3 linked regions of the Oryctolagus cuniculus genome follow. The protein of the gene in region 1 purifies or fractionates together with the protein of each later gene. This does not show direct contact. Links are inferred from orthologs where the notes say so. Each region holds a gene or a part of one and is shown in the gene's direction. Other genes may lie near its edges. The genes, in order: PHLPP2, WDR20 and USP1.

Region 1 (3,644 bases):
ACCTGCTCTTCTTTAGGACTGTGTAGATCTTGTTCTCTCCAGTAGTCAGTCTTTTTTTTTCCCCTTCAAAAATAATTTATTTGTTTCTGGTCACAAAACACAGGAAGTGGCCGGTGCCGCAGCTCAATAGGCTAATCCTCCGCCTTGTGGCGCTGACACACTGGGTTGTAATCCTGGTCAGGGTGCCGGATTCTGTCCCGGCTGCCCCTCTTCCAGGCCAGCTCTCTGCTGTGGCCAGGGAGTGCAGTGGAGGATGGCCCAAGTCCTTGGGCCCTGCACCCGCATGGGAGACCAGGAGAAGCACCTGGCTCCTGGCTTCGGATCAGCGTAGTGCGCTTGCCACAGCGCACCAGCCGCAGCGGCCATTGGAGGGTGAACCAACGGCAAAGGAAGACCTTTCTCTCTGTCTCTCTCTCTCACTGTCTACTCTGCCTGTCCAAAACAAAACAAAACAAAACACAGGAAGTTGCGAGGGCAGTGGGTGTTCCCAGTGGCTGCCCTCTTCCTGGTCTGTACACCTTGTACACAGCGCCCCAAGCTGTTTCTCCCATTCTAACAGCTGCAGAGTATGGGGAGCAGGCAGGATGCTGAGCCACAGACCCCTACCCCCCACTTACAATGTGGGGACACCCCTCGGGTGAGCGCTCCAGCTCACCCCTGCGTATCTGCCACAGACCAGCCCTGTCTACACAGCCCCTAGGGGCTGCACCTTGCAGCAGTGAAGTAGTCAGTCTATTTGTGTTAAAACTACTACATGGCTACCACACAAACATATGTCTGGTATTTTTACATATTAGGCATAAATATATTAGTTGGTACAGATTGCATTACAACATCTGTAAGATGTACGAGTTCTTTGTACCTGTATCAAAATGTGTAAAATAAGTAGATATGACTGAAGCATAGAAATCTTTGTTTTGCTGAGATCTTGATTGAAAAGAATGGCATTAATTTTGACAGTGTTTGGCCCCTATTTCTTCTTGCTGCACCTTTTCTTTTTTTTTTCCTCCTGGTTAGGGGGTGGGGGCACTTGGCTGCTCTACTTCCAATCCAGCTTCCTGATAATAGAGCCTGAGGAGGCAGTGGATGATGGTTCAAGAATTTGGGCCCCTTTCACCCATGTGGGAGACCTGGATGGAGTCTCTGGCTCCTAGCTTTGACCTTGCCCAGTCCTGGCTGTTGTGGGTATTTGGAGAGTGAATCACAGGATGGAAGATTTCTCTGTGTCTCCTCCCCTCTCTGTTGTTCTGCCTTTCAAATAAGCTGCTGCTTGGTATGCTAGCATCCTAGATTGGGGTACCAGCTTGAGTCACAGCTGTCTGCTTCTGATCCATCTCCCTGCGAACTTGCCTGATGGAGTTCTGAGCACCTGGCTTCAGCCTGGCCTAGCTCTGACCATTGGAGGAGTGAACCAGCAGATGGAAGAGCCTTCTCTCTTTCTCCATTTCTGTCTCTCTCTTTCTCTCCCCACCACCCGTGTTACTCTGCCTGTGAAATAAATAAATACTTAAGAATTAATCCTTAGGGTTGGCATTTTGGTACAGTGGATAGAGCTGCTGCATCCCAGTGGGTGCCAGTTCGTGTCCTGGCTACTCTACTTCCAATCCAACTCCTTGCTGATGGCCTGGGAAAGGCAGCAGAGGATGGCCCAAGTGTTTGGACCTCTGCACCCATGGCTCAGCCCTAACTGTTGCTGCCCCTTGGAGAGTAGAACAGCAGATGAAAGACTTTTATTCCATCCTTCCTTTCTTTGTTTCTTTCTCCTTTTTTTCTGTATTTTTCTTTCTAAGATAGAATTACAGAGAGGCAGAGAGAAAGAGAGGTTTCCTATCCACTGGTTCACTCCCCAAATGTCTGAAACGGCCAGAGCTGTGCTGATCCAAAGCCAGGAGCCAGGAGCTTCTTCCAGGTCTCCCATGTGGCTGCAAGGGCCCAAGGACTTGGGCCATCTTCCACTGCTTTCCCAGGCTGTAGCAGAGAGCTGGATCAGAAGTGGAGCAGCCAGGGCTCAAACTGGCACCCATATGGGATGCCAGCACTGCAGGTGGCAACTTTACCCACTATGCCACAGCACCAGCCCTGAAAGACCCTCTTTGTCTCTCCCTCTGCAGCTCTCTCAGGTAAATAAAGAATTTTTGAAAAGAATTAATCTTAACACATGATATCTTTGGGAGAGTTTTCATCAAAGACAGTCTAATATATGGCTTAATCTTCTCTTCTTTCACCTCAACAGCCATATCACAACACTAAAAATTGATCAGAAACCTTTGCCAACCACAGATTCTACCATTACATCAACCTTCTGGAGCCACGGACTGGCTGAGATGGCAGGACAGAGAAATAAGTGAGTGTGTTGACTGTGAAGACTGAGTTCAAGAACTGGCAGCCCCTGGTGTCTCAGATGTCTCTGGTGCTCCTAGTGAGGCCCTGATGTTCTGTTGCACATAAGCATATCAGCATGTCAGCTCACATAAGATCCTTCTGAGACTATGCTAAAGTGAGACAAATGTGCGTGTGCAGTCCACAGAATACCAAACACCTCCTCTCATGGCTAACATGGGTGTTTGCTTCTTAGGTTATCAATTACAGCTTTATCCTTGTGTTAAATTTCCTTCCCTGTCAACAAAGTTGAAATACCCAACTGTGGAGTCGTCCTGCTTTCTCTTAGCACCCAACCTAGTGTGATCCTCCACTTCCTAGAGCCCTGCCCAGTGACCCAACCAAAGCCCAAATCTTATACTCGTTTCTGTCCAACATCCTCTTACCAGTACGCCCCATGGTTTCATGGACTAGCATTCACCCTTGCTGCAAGGTCTAATAAACCCGGCTTGTCTAGTTACAGATGTGCTTTGGGGTTCTTGGGCTGAAGGGTTTTGACAAAATCCAGTTCTTAATCACTACCATGAGAAAATACATTATCTTCCAGCCTTGGGCAGCACTGCAAAACTATGTACTGCCCATGAGTGTGGCAAGACACGCCTTTCCTTAGGACATCACTGTTTTAGATTCTGCTGGATTATTTTCTCTAGGGACTTTCTCACATGTAAATTGAGAGTTACTGCTGTTCTGCTCCAACTTCAGTTGGAGAATAATCTGTTACCAAACACTTTCTTTGATGATTGTCTTTCTTCTGTTTCTGCTCTAGGCTGTGTGTATCTGCTCTAGCTATGGATAACTTGGCAGAGGGTGTGGGAGCCGCGTATGGCATGTTTGACGGCGACCGGAACGAGGAGCTCCCTCGCCTGCTGCAGTGCACGATGGCAGACGTGCTGTTGGAAGAGGTACAGCAGTCAGCACATGACACCGTTTTCATGGCGAGCACCTTCTTGGTGTCTCACAGGTAAGCAGATGGGTTGAATAATCCCTAACTCAGTTCTGCTTTTGGAAAGTCAGTCTCTGTAAGCCAGAAGATTAGGATCTGGATCCAGGACAGATCCCACTCCTTCTGTGATCCTGCTGTGGCTTGGAAGTGGGGACTTTGGCTCTTTAAAGAGCCACAGGAGTCATCTGCATTGTTTATATGTATGTGTGTGGAGGAAGGGAGGAAGGGGGTAAGGTTTCATCAGATTCTCCAGAGAGTCTGTGACCTCTAAGTACTTAACAAGCACTGATTAGGTTCATGTGTTTTGCGTACTTGTTATTGG
Region 2 (3,744 bases), on another chromosome or scaffold:
CTGGCGGCTCTGACTCCCCCCTCCCCAGGGGTGAACCCCGGCTGGCGGCTCTGACACTCCTCTCCCCCCTCCCCAGGGTGAACCCCGGCTGGCGGCTCTGACACCCTCCCCAGGGATGAACCCCCGGCTGGCGGCTCTGACTCCCCCCTCCCCAGGGTGAACCCCGGCTGGCGGCTCTGACTCCCCCCTCCCCAGGGTGAACCCCCGGCTGGCGGCTCTGACTCCCCCCTCCCCAGGGTGAACCCCGGCTGGCGGCTCTGACTCCCCCCTCCCCAGGGTGAACCCCGGCTGGCGGCTCTGACACTACCCCCTCCCCAGGGTGAACCCCGGCTGGCGGCTCTGACTCCCCCCTCCCCAGGGTGAACCCCGGCTGGCGGCTCTGACTCCCCCCCAGGGGGAACCCCCTTCCTTGGTGACCCCCCGACGACGTCAGCACGCAGGAACTGGTCATTCTCGGTGCGGCAAGCACTGGCTCTGCCCCGGAATGCCATCAGAACGTCACCCTAGAAGCGCGTTAGCGCACGCCAGCGGCTGTCCGCGGTCACCGCGACCCTCGCACACCTGGACTTCGCGGGTCCGCGTGGGGCATTTCTAAACTCAATTCCGCTCATCTCGTTGAGGGCGCCTAAGCAGCTACGAAGCAACAGGAATGATCCGGCTCCCCGCGCTGCCCCGCGCGCCTCACGCCTCAGACGGCCAGTCCACACACACCGTCCTCCCCCGCACGACTCCGCCGCAGGGGCTCCGGGCCGCGGCACGGGCCGGTCGCGAGGGTCCTCCGGGCCCGCGGGGCGGGACAGCCCCCAGCCCGCGGCGAGAGCGCCACCCCCGCCGCCCGCGGCTTCCTCACGAGCCGACCCCTCGGGGCGCGGCGCCCTCCCCTCAGCGCCGCAGGGCCGGAAGCAGCCGAGGAGGCCGCCCTCACTCACTCCCGCCGCGGCTCTCCCTTACCGGCGCTCCCGCGGCACCCGCAGCCCCGCCAGCGCCTCGGCACCCCGAGCCCGCGACCCCAGGACGCAGCCGCGGCGCCGCGAGACGACGCCCGGGGGAGGAGCCGGCGCACGCCCCGCCGCGTGGAGCCGCCGGGGCAGCGCGCGTGCGCAGTCGGGCCGTAAACAAGCCCGCCCCGTCCCCTCGGCCCGCCTCCGTGGGGCTGGCCCGCGGGTGGGCGGGGCCAGAGGGGAGAGGCGGGGGGAGGAGAGCGAACGCCGGGGACGGCGCCTGCGCGGTGGGCGTGATCCGGGCACTTAGGGCAGGATGAACGCTGCTTTCCAAGATGGCGACGGAGGGAGGAGGGAAGGAGATGAACGAGATTAAGACCCAATTCACCACCCGGGAAGGTCTGTACAAGCTGCTGCCGCACTCGGAGTACAGCCGGCCCAACCGGGTGCCCTTCAACTCGCAGGGATCCAACCCTGTGCGCGTCTCCTTCGTAAACCTCAACGACCAGTCTGGCAACGGCGACCGCCTCTGCTTCAATGTGGGCCGGGAGCTCTACTTCTATATCTACAAGGGGGTCCGCAAGGTACCGACCCGGGCGTCACCGGGGCCCGCCGGCGGCGTGGGCGGAGGCCGGGGGCAGGGCGGTGACAGCGGGGCCGGGGTGACCGGCAGGGGTGGCCGTCGCTCTTACTTTGGAGTGGGCCGGCAACTCCGCTGAGGGACTCCCGAGGAAAGGGGGCTCGGGAGTGGGCAGGGTGGTGGCGTCGGCGCTCCGAGGGCGTGGGGGCCGGGGGCCGGCGCCGGGCGTGCGGGGTTCCGGCTGGGAGGCCTGGGAGCCGGCCGCCTCGGCTCCGGCGGGGTCCGCCGGGCGCTGACACGGCCAGGAGCGGGCCTGCGGGGCGAGGTGGCCGGCCCGCCCGCCTGGCTTCCCCGGAGGGGTGGGAGTCCCGCCGGGGCTCGGGGAGGGGTCTGTCAGCCTGGAGCGGGTCGGAAAGGACCTTCTGGGCACGCAGGGCTGCTCCACCTGCGGCCGCACTGACACTTCCCGACCGCCGTTTCCAAAAACGTCCGCGGAGCTCGGCTGTCACCGCCCCGCCCCGGGCGGCCTCCCGGCCGATTGCTGGGGAGGGGTCGTCCTGCCCCTCGTGGGGTGGGCTGGGCCGAGCGCCGCGGTTGCGGGCTGGAATCGGTGTTCTCGGTGGCCGGAGCTGGTGCAGCGGGGCTCTGTGTGAGCCTGCCCGGATTAGCCTGGTCCAACAAGTCGGACTGTGTCCCGCACGGGCAGGGAGGTGCCTGAAAGCTGCTGTGAAGGACCCGTCTCCTGGGGCGGCTCAGCAGGGACTCTGGAGTCTGTGATCTTCCTTTACAGCGATCTCTTTAAGAGCAGCGATTTGCGAGGGCTTTTCTTTCTCTGTGTGAGTAACTGTCCTCCCTGAGAGGTGGCCTTCGACTTGGCTCCTGGCGGGGCGAGGAGACCGTGGTAAAGCACCGTTTGTACACGTGCAGTGAGTGTGGAAACGGCGCCTGCCACAGGCACGAGCGGACGGGCCCTGTGATTTCACAGACCCGGACCCAGGGTCGTGTTTCTTCCTGCTTACCGGGGCTGGGAAGCTGACAGCCCTGTCTAAATGGAGCAGGTTGTCCCTTCCCTTGGGGCGAGCCTTTGCTAGTGCACTGCTGGGTTTGACGGTGGGGTATGCGGTCCCCCTCCGCTTTCGGCCGGAAGTCTGAGGTGTGGTAGCCCAAGTTTTCCTCCTGTTCTCAACATTGTCACCAACTTAGCTTGTCGGGTGACCTTGGTAAGTTACTTAGTTTCTACTGCCCCTCTTTAAAAAGGAACTATTGCAGTGTGTGTGTGTTATAATTAATAATAAGCTCACTGCAATGAGCTCGAGAGCCCTGAAACACTAGCAGATGTAAGCTATAGTTAAACAGGCGTGAAGAGTGATGTCCAACAGGAAGCTGCCATCTTGACATCCATGCTAGGACTGCAAGGATCAGTGCTTTCTCTGGAGATAAATTAAGGATTTTAGGTTATTAACAGCTGTATTTATATGAAAGGGCGATGTGCTTAAAACCAAGTTCATTGACACTAGCAGTGCTAGTGCAGACATTATTTGAAAAGAAATTTCTTTGAAAGATTAGTATTGATGAAGGATTTTAATGGCAAACCTTATCTGGATCTGGTATCCCTGGATGGCACCATAATAACAGGTCTTCACACCTGAAATTATCGTTATATTAGTGCTCCTTTTTTAAATTGGGACACTCTTCACTGAAGGGTGAAACTAAGAGAGCTTTTCAAAGCTTCAAAGGAATTATTTTAAACAAGTTATTTTTAGTAACTTCTAATACAAAACCCCAGACAAATCTGAAATACATAAGTTGCCCTCATATGCATAGTTTGAGCACTTTACCTGTTTTTTTTTTTTTTTTTTGTAAATTCTTACTTTTATGTGGGAGGTGGGAGTAACTTTTTTGAAAAAAAATTTATTTATTTATTTGAAAGAGTTACTGACAAAGAGAGCACAAAGAGAGGGAGAGAGAAAGAGAGAGAGGTCCTCCATCTGCTGGTTCATTCCCCACATGGCTGCAGTGGCCAGGGCTGGGCCAGGCTGAAGCTGGGAGTCTGGAGCTTCTTCCCGGTTTCCTACTTGAGTGCAGCGGTCTAAGCACTTGGGCCATCTTCCACTGCTTTCCCAGGCCATCAGCAGGGAGTTGGATTGGAAAGTGGAGCAGCCGGGACTTGAACCAATGATGGTGGTGCTGTAGGCTGAGGCTTAACCTACTACGCCACTGTGC
Region 3 (3,744 bases), on another chromosome or scaffold:
TTCTTCAAGGAATCAAAAGATGTAGGTAGGCACATCAAAAAGTTTGTGTCACATAAAAACGGAATTAAAAGAAAAGTTTAGGGGCAAGCACTGTGGTGCAGCTGGTTTAGTAGCCGCCTGCAACGCCGGCATCTCATGAGCGCCTGCTTTGCACTCTGGCTGCTCTGCTCTGGATCCAGCTCCCTGATAACATACCTGGTAAAGCAGCAGCAGATGGCCCAAGCGCTCCGGCCCCTGCCACCCATGTGGGAGACTGAGGTGGCGCTCCTGGCTCCTGGCTCCGGCCTGGACTAGCTGCAGCTGTTGCCACCACCTGGGGAGTGAACCAGCAGATGGAAGCTCTCTCTCTGCCTTCAAATATGGATTTTTTAAAAAAAGATAAGTTTACTATGGGGCAAACAGTTTCTTAAATCTATGCATATGAGAAGTCTTCAAAAGGTCAAGGAAAATGTGTATAATGAAAAATTATGTATGGATTTCTTTTTCTGCACAAAATGGACTTATCTTTTAATTTCAATTTTCCACGAACTTTTTGAAGTACCCTCATACTTATTTCTTTTTTCCATCTTCTGAGGAAATCTTTTTCATTAACTTGGTAAGGGAAAGTATAACAGAAAACCAAACATTATCTGGTTGCTTGGGGGGGGTGGGGACTGTCATCTTTGATCTCTTTTTTCTTACCATACCATGCTTCCGGTCACTCAACGAAGCTGGTTGGCTGTACTTCAAATATAGTGGAGGCGTTTGGCCTAATGGTTAAGACACCAACTGGGATGTCTGCCCCCCATCTCAGAGTGCCTGTCTTTGCCTCTCCATTGGCCTCCTGTTCCCGTTTCCCGCTGCGGCGGCACCTGGGGAGGCAGCAGGTGATGGCTCCAGCAGTTGAGTCCCTTCCAGCCAAGCGAGAGATCTGGGTGCGTTCGGAGCTTCCAGCTTTGGCCTGACCCAGTCTCAGCTGCTGTTAAGATCTGGGCAGTGACTTTCTCTTTCTCTGTCATGTATATGGCTATGTGTCTATATGTATGGATATATGTATATCCATGTGCGTATATGTATGTATAATCTCTTGAATCTCACGTTCTGAGCACTTCCATTTATCACAAGTCACCAGTTTACTCCTTGGCCACCGAAATCAGCCCCCTAGTGGAGCTTCCTGCTTGCATTCTTGAAGGTCAAAGGTCTGTCCACCGCGGCGGGGGGGGGGGGGGGGGGGGACTGTTTCACAAATCCTGCCCCTGCCGGCTGAGCACCACCCAGCGCCTTCCACCCCGGCCTGCTGCGTGGGGGCCCAGCCGGTTTCGCTCATCTCCTGCGTGTAGTCTTCTCACCCAGGCTCACACGCTCTCAGGAGCCTGGCTACCTCACCTCTCTGCAAAACACCAAACGCGTCCAGGACTTTGTATCTGCTGTTCTTGCCGCCGGGACCATTCTTCCCCTTGGGTCCCTCCCGGGCTCGCTCTGCTCAGCCGTCAACTGCAGGGCGCTTTCCCGAATATGCCACCTAAAACGGCATGCCCCTGCTGTCGCTTCCATCGTGTGTGCCCATTTTTAGTTTAACGTCTGTCTCCTCTCGAATGTACAACTCCTTTAGCGCAAGGAACGTATTTCATTCAGGCCACAGTCCTAAGCGTTTTGAAAAATGCCGGGCACACAGCAGAACCGAAACATTCGGATTTGGACTAAATCTCTCCTGCTTAACTTCAGCACTTGCGCCGAGGTCGCGCCGCACAGGTAAGCACACAAACACAAAAGGGCACCCGAGCCGCCTGCTTCGCTGCTTTTGAGCCTCCGAGCGGCGGCTCGGGTCGGAACCGCTGTGTGGCCCACGGCGGGTCGGGCTCGAGAGGACACCGTGAGGCGATCGGCGTCTGAGGAAGGAGCCTCGCCCTAAAGCACTCTGCTGAGGCTCCGCCGTCCTCCGTGACGGCGCTGGTTTTCTCTAGACGGCCCTGGGGCCGGGGCTGCTGCCCGTGACAGAAAGCCCACGCACGGAGCAGGACGCGGCGCGGCCTCCATTTCCCGTAGCCGGTCTCCCTGGTAACCCCGCCCGAGCGTTCACGCAAGAAAGGAGGGCGGGGCTCGCGGGGAGGGCCTAGCTCCGGAAGCCGCGCCCTCGCCGGCGTCCCTCGGGCCAACACTACGCACAGCTAGACTCTTAACAGTCGGCCGCGAAAGCGCGCACGCGAGCGCCAATGAGAGCGAGAGGCGGGGAGCCGCGCCTGAGGAACTCGGTGTAAGTCTCATAAGGATTGGCCCGAGCCTTTCTGTCTTCTTTGTTGGTATTGGCTGGATTTCTTTCTCCCGCCCATTTGCTAGCTTTTGTCTGGGTACTTCTGATTGGCTCTGCCTGGGCAGTGAAGGGGGTGAGGTTTTGGGGATGCTTCGTCGCGGATTGGCGGATTTGAGCACCTAAGGGCTCCTCCTTGAGGAAGGGGGCCCGGCCCATCTTGCCTCTGTCCCGTCTCCCGACCCGTACTCGTAACTCGCGCGCACGAATGGTTAAAAAAAAAAAAAAAAAAGGGTGTGAGGCTCGAGCCCGCCAGCCAGGCCTCCAGTGCGCGCCCTCAGCGAGGACCCGCGCGAGCTGCCCGAGACTGTGCCTGCGGTGTTTGAAAGTGCGGAACCCGTTAGGATCTTGGGGGAGCTACCGTTCCAGCTGGTTCCGGAGCCCGTGCGCGCCGGGGGCCAGGGGCGGTCGCGGGGCGGCCCTGGTGTTTCGCGTCTGTGCAGCGTGGAGGCGAGGACCGGCATTTTCGAAGGACGCCACCTTCAATCGCAGTGCTGGCGCGGGCGGAGGCTAACACACGGGGGTCCTGAGACTGAGGAAAACGCGCCAAGTTCCCCTCGGCGGTGGAGTGGGGAGACCCTAGCGGTTCAGGCGCTCGGCGAGCGGGACCGCGGCTTGGTGCGCTCTTTGGCACCCGGGGCGGGCGCGGGCAGGCGCCGCTCCGGGCATGTAGTGGGCGCAGGCATCAGGCAGGACCGAGCGGCGGCCCGGGTTCCCGCCCTTGTGAGTGGATGGTCACTCCCCCGCGGGGAGGGCGACCGGCCAAGCTTTTCCTTGGGTCGGGGGCCCTGCGGGCTCGGGCCAGGGACTCACCTGCCGCACCCACACTCTTCCCGGCTGGACTCGCCGGCGTCAGCGCCGCGGACCGCGTTTGGGCCATGGCCAGGTGAGGAGGGCCTGAGAAGGGGTTGGTGCTCTGCGTGGAGGCAAGTTCCGCGGGCAGCGTAGTGGGGCTGCGGGCAAGACCCCGGACCGTTTCGTTTCGGTCCTGCACCCTCGCCGCGCTGCCGGCCGGGGCTCCGCGGCGGCTCTTGCAGTCGGGGAGGCAGGTGCGGGCTGGGCGTACACAGGCCGGCTCCACGGGCGCGGGGCCGGAGCGCGGTGCGGGCCACGGCGCCGCCAGCCGCCCCCACCGTGCCCCCGGGGTGTGTGAAGGGCACGGCCGCCTTCTCGGTTTCCTCTCCCGTGGAGCCCGATAGGGAGAAGCAGTACTGATTGCCCTGACGTTGCCTTCGGACGGCAATTGCGAAATTTTACCGCGCGTTTTCTTTCATGTATAGTTTCCTCAGTATTTAGAACGCCACGTGTCTTAAAACTTCAGCGGAGATGTTCGGGATTGTTTTACGTTTCTTCTGGAAAAATAGGAATTGAGTCCTGTCATCTTAGAAAGGAAAGAACTTGAAACTGATAGGGCTGAGTGTTCGTGCTGTCATTTGTTCGAGAATGTTTACTGTCGG

The links.
Region 2: the proteins of PHLPP2 (region 1) and WDR20 purify together in Homo sapiens (affinity purification with mass spectrometry; 4 studies listed by BioGRID and IntAct, with this or other methods). This does not show direct contact. The link is inferred for Oryctolagus cuniculus from reciprocal best matches to the Homo sapiens genes PHLPP2 and WDR20.
Region 3: the proteins of PHLPP2 (region 1) and USP1 purify together in Homo sapiens (affinity purification with mass spectrometry; 3 studies listed by BioGRID and IntAct, with this or other methods). This does not show direct contact. The link is inferred for Oryctolagus cuniculus from reciprocal best matches to the Homo sapiens genes PHLPP2 and USP1.

Annotation. Positions count from the first base shown.
Region 1 is NC_091449.1:55,608,520-55,612,163, forward strand, and holds part of PHLPP2 (PH domain leucine-rich repeat-containing protein phosphatase 2), read left to right. Parts: intron 1-2,233; coding exon 2,234-2,344; intron 2,345-3,145; coding exon 3,146-3,340; intron 3,341-3,644. UniProt on the Homo sapiens protein: Protein phosphatase involved in regulation of Akt and PKC signaling.
Region 2 is NC_091451.1:45,407,070-45,410,813, forward strand, and holds the start of WDR20 (WD repeat-containing protein 20), read left to right. Parts: upstream 1-1,119; 5' UTR 1,120-1,276; coding exon 1,277-1,525; intron 1,526-2,207; exon of another isoform or gene 2,208-2,357; intron 2,358-3,744. UniProt on the Homo sapiens protein: Regulator of deubiquitinating complexes. Activates deubiquitinating activity of complexes containing USP12. Anchors at the base of the ubiquitin-contacting loop of USP12 and remotely modulates the catalytic center of the enzyme.
Region 3 is NC_091438.1:110,376,380-110,380,123, reverse strand, and holds the start of USP1 (ubiquitin carboxyl-terminal hydrolase 1), read left to right. Parts: upstream 1-1,230; 5' UTR 1,231-1,731; intron 1,732-2,093; exon of another isoform or gene 2,094-2,233; intron 2,234-3,033; exon of another isoform or gene 3,034-3,173; intron 3,174-3,744. UniProt on the Homo sapiens protein: Negative regulator of DNA damage repair which specifically deubiquitinates monoubiquitinated FANCD2. Also involved in PCNA-mediated translesion synthesis (TLS) by deubiquitinating monoubiquitinated PCNA.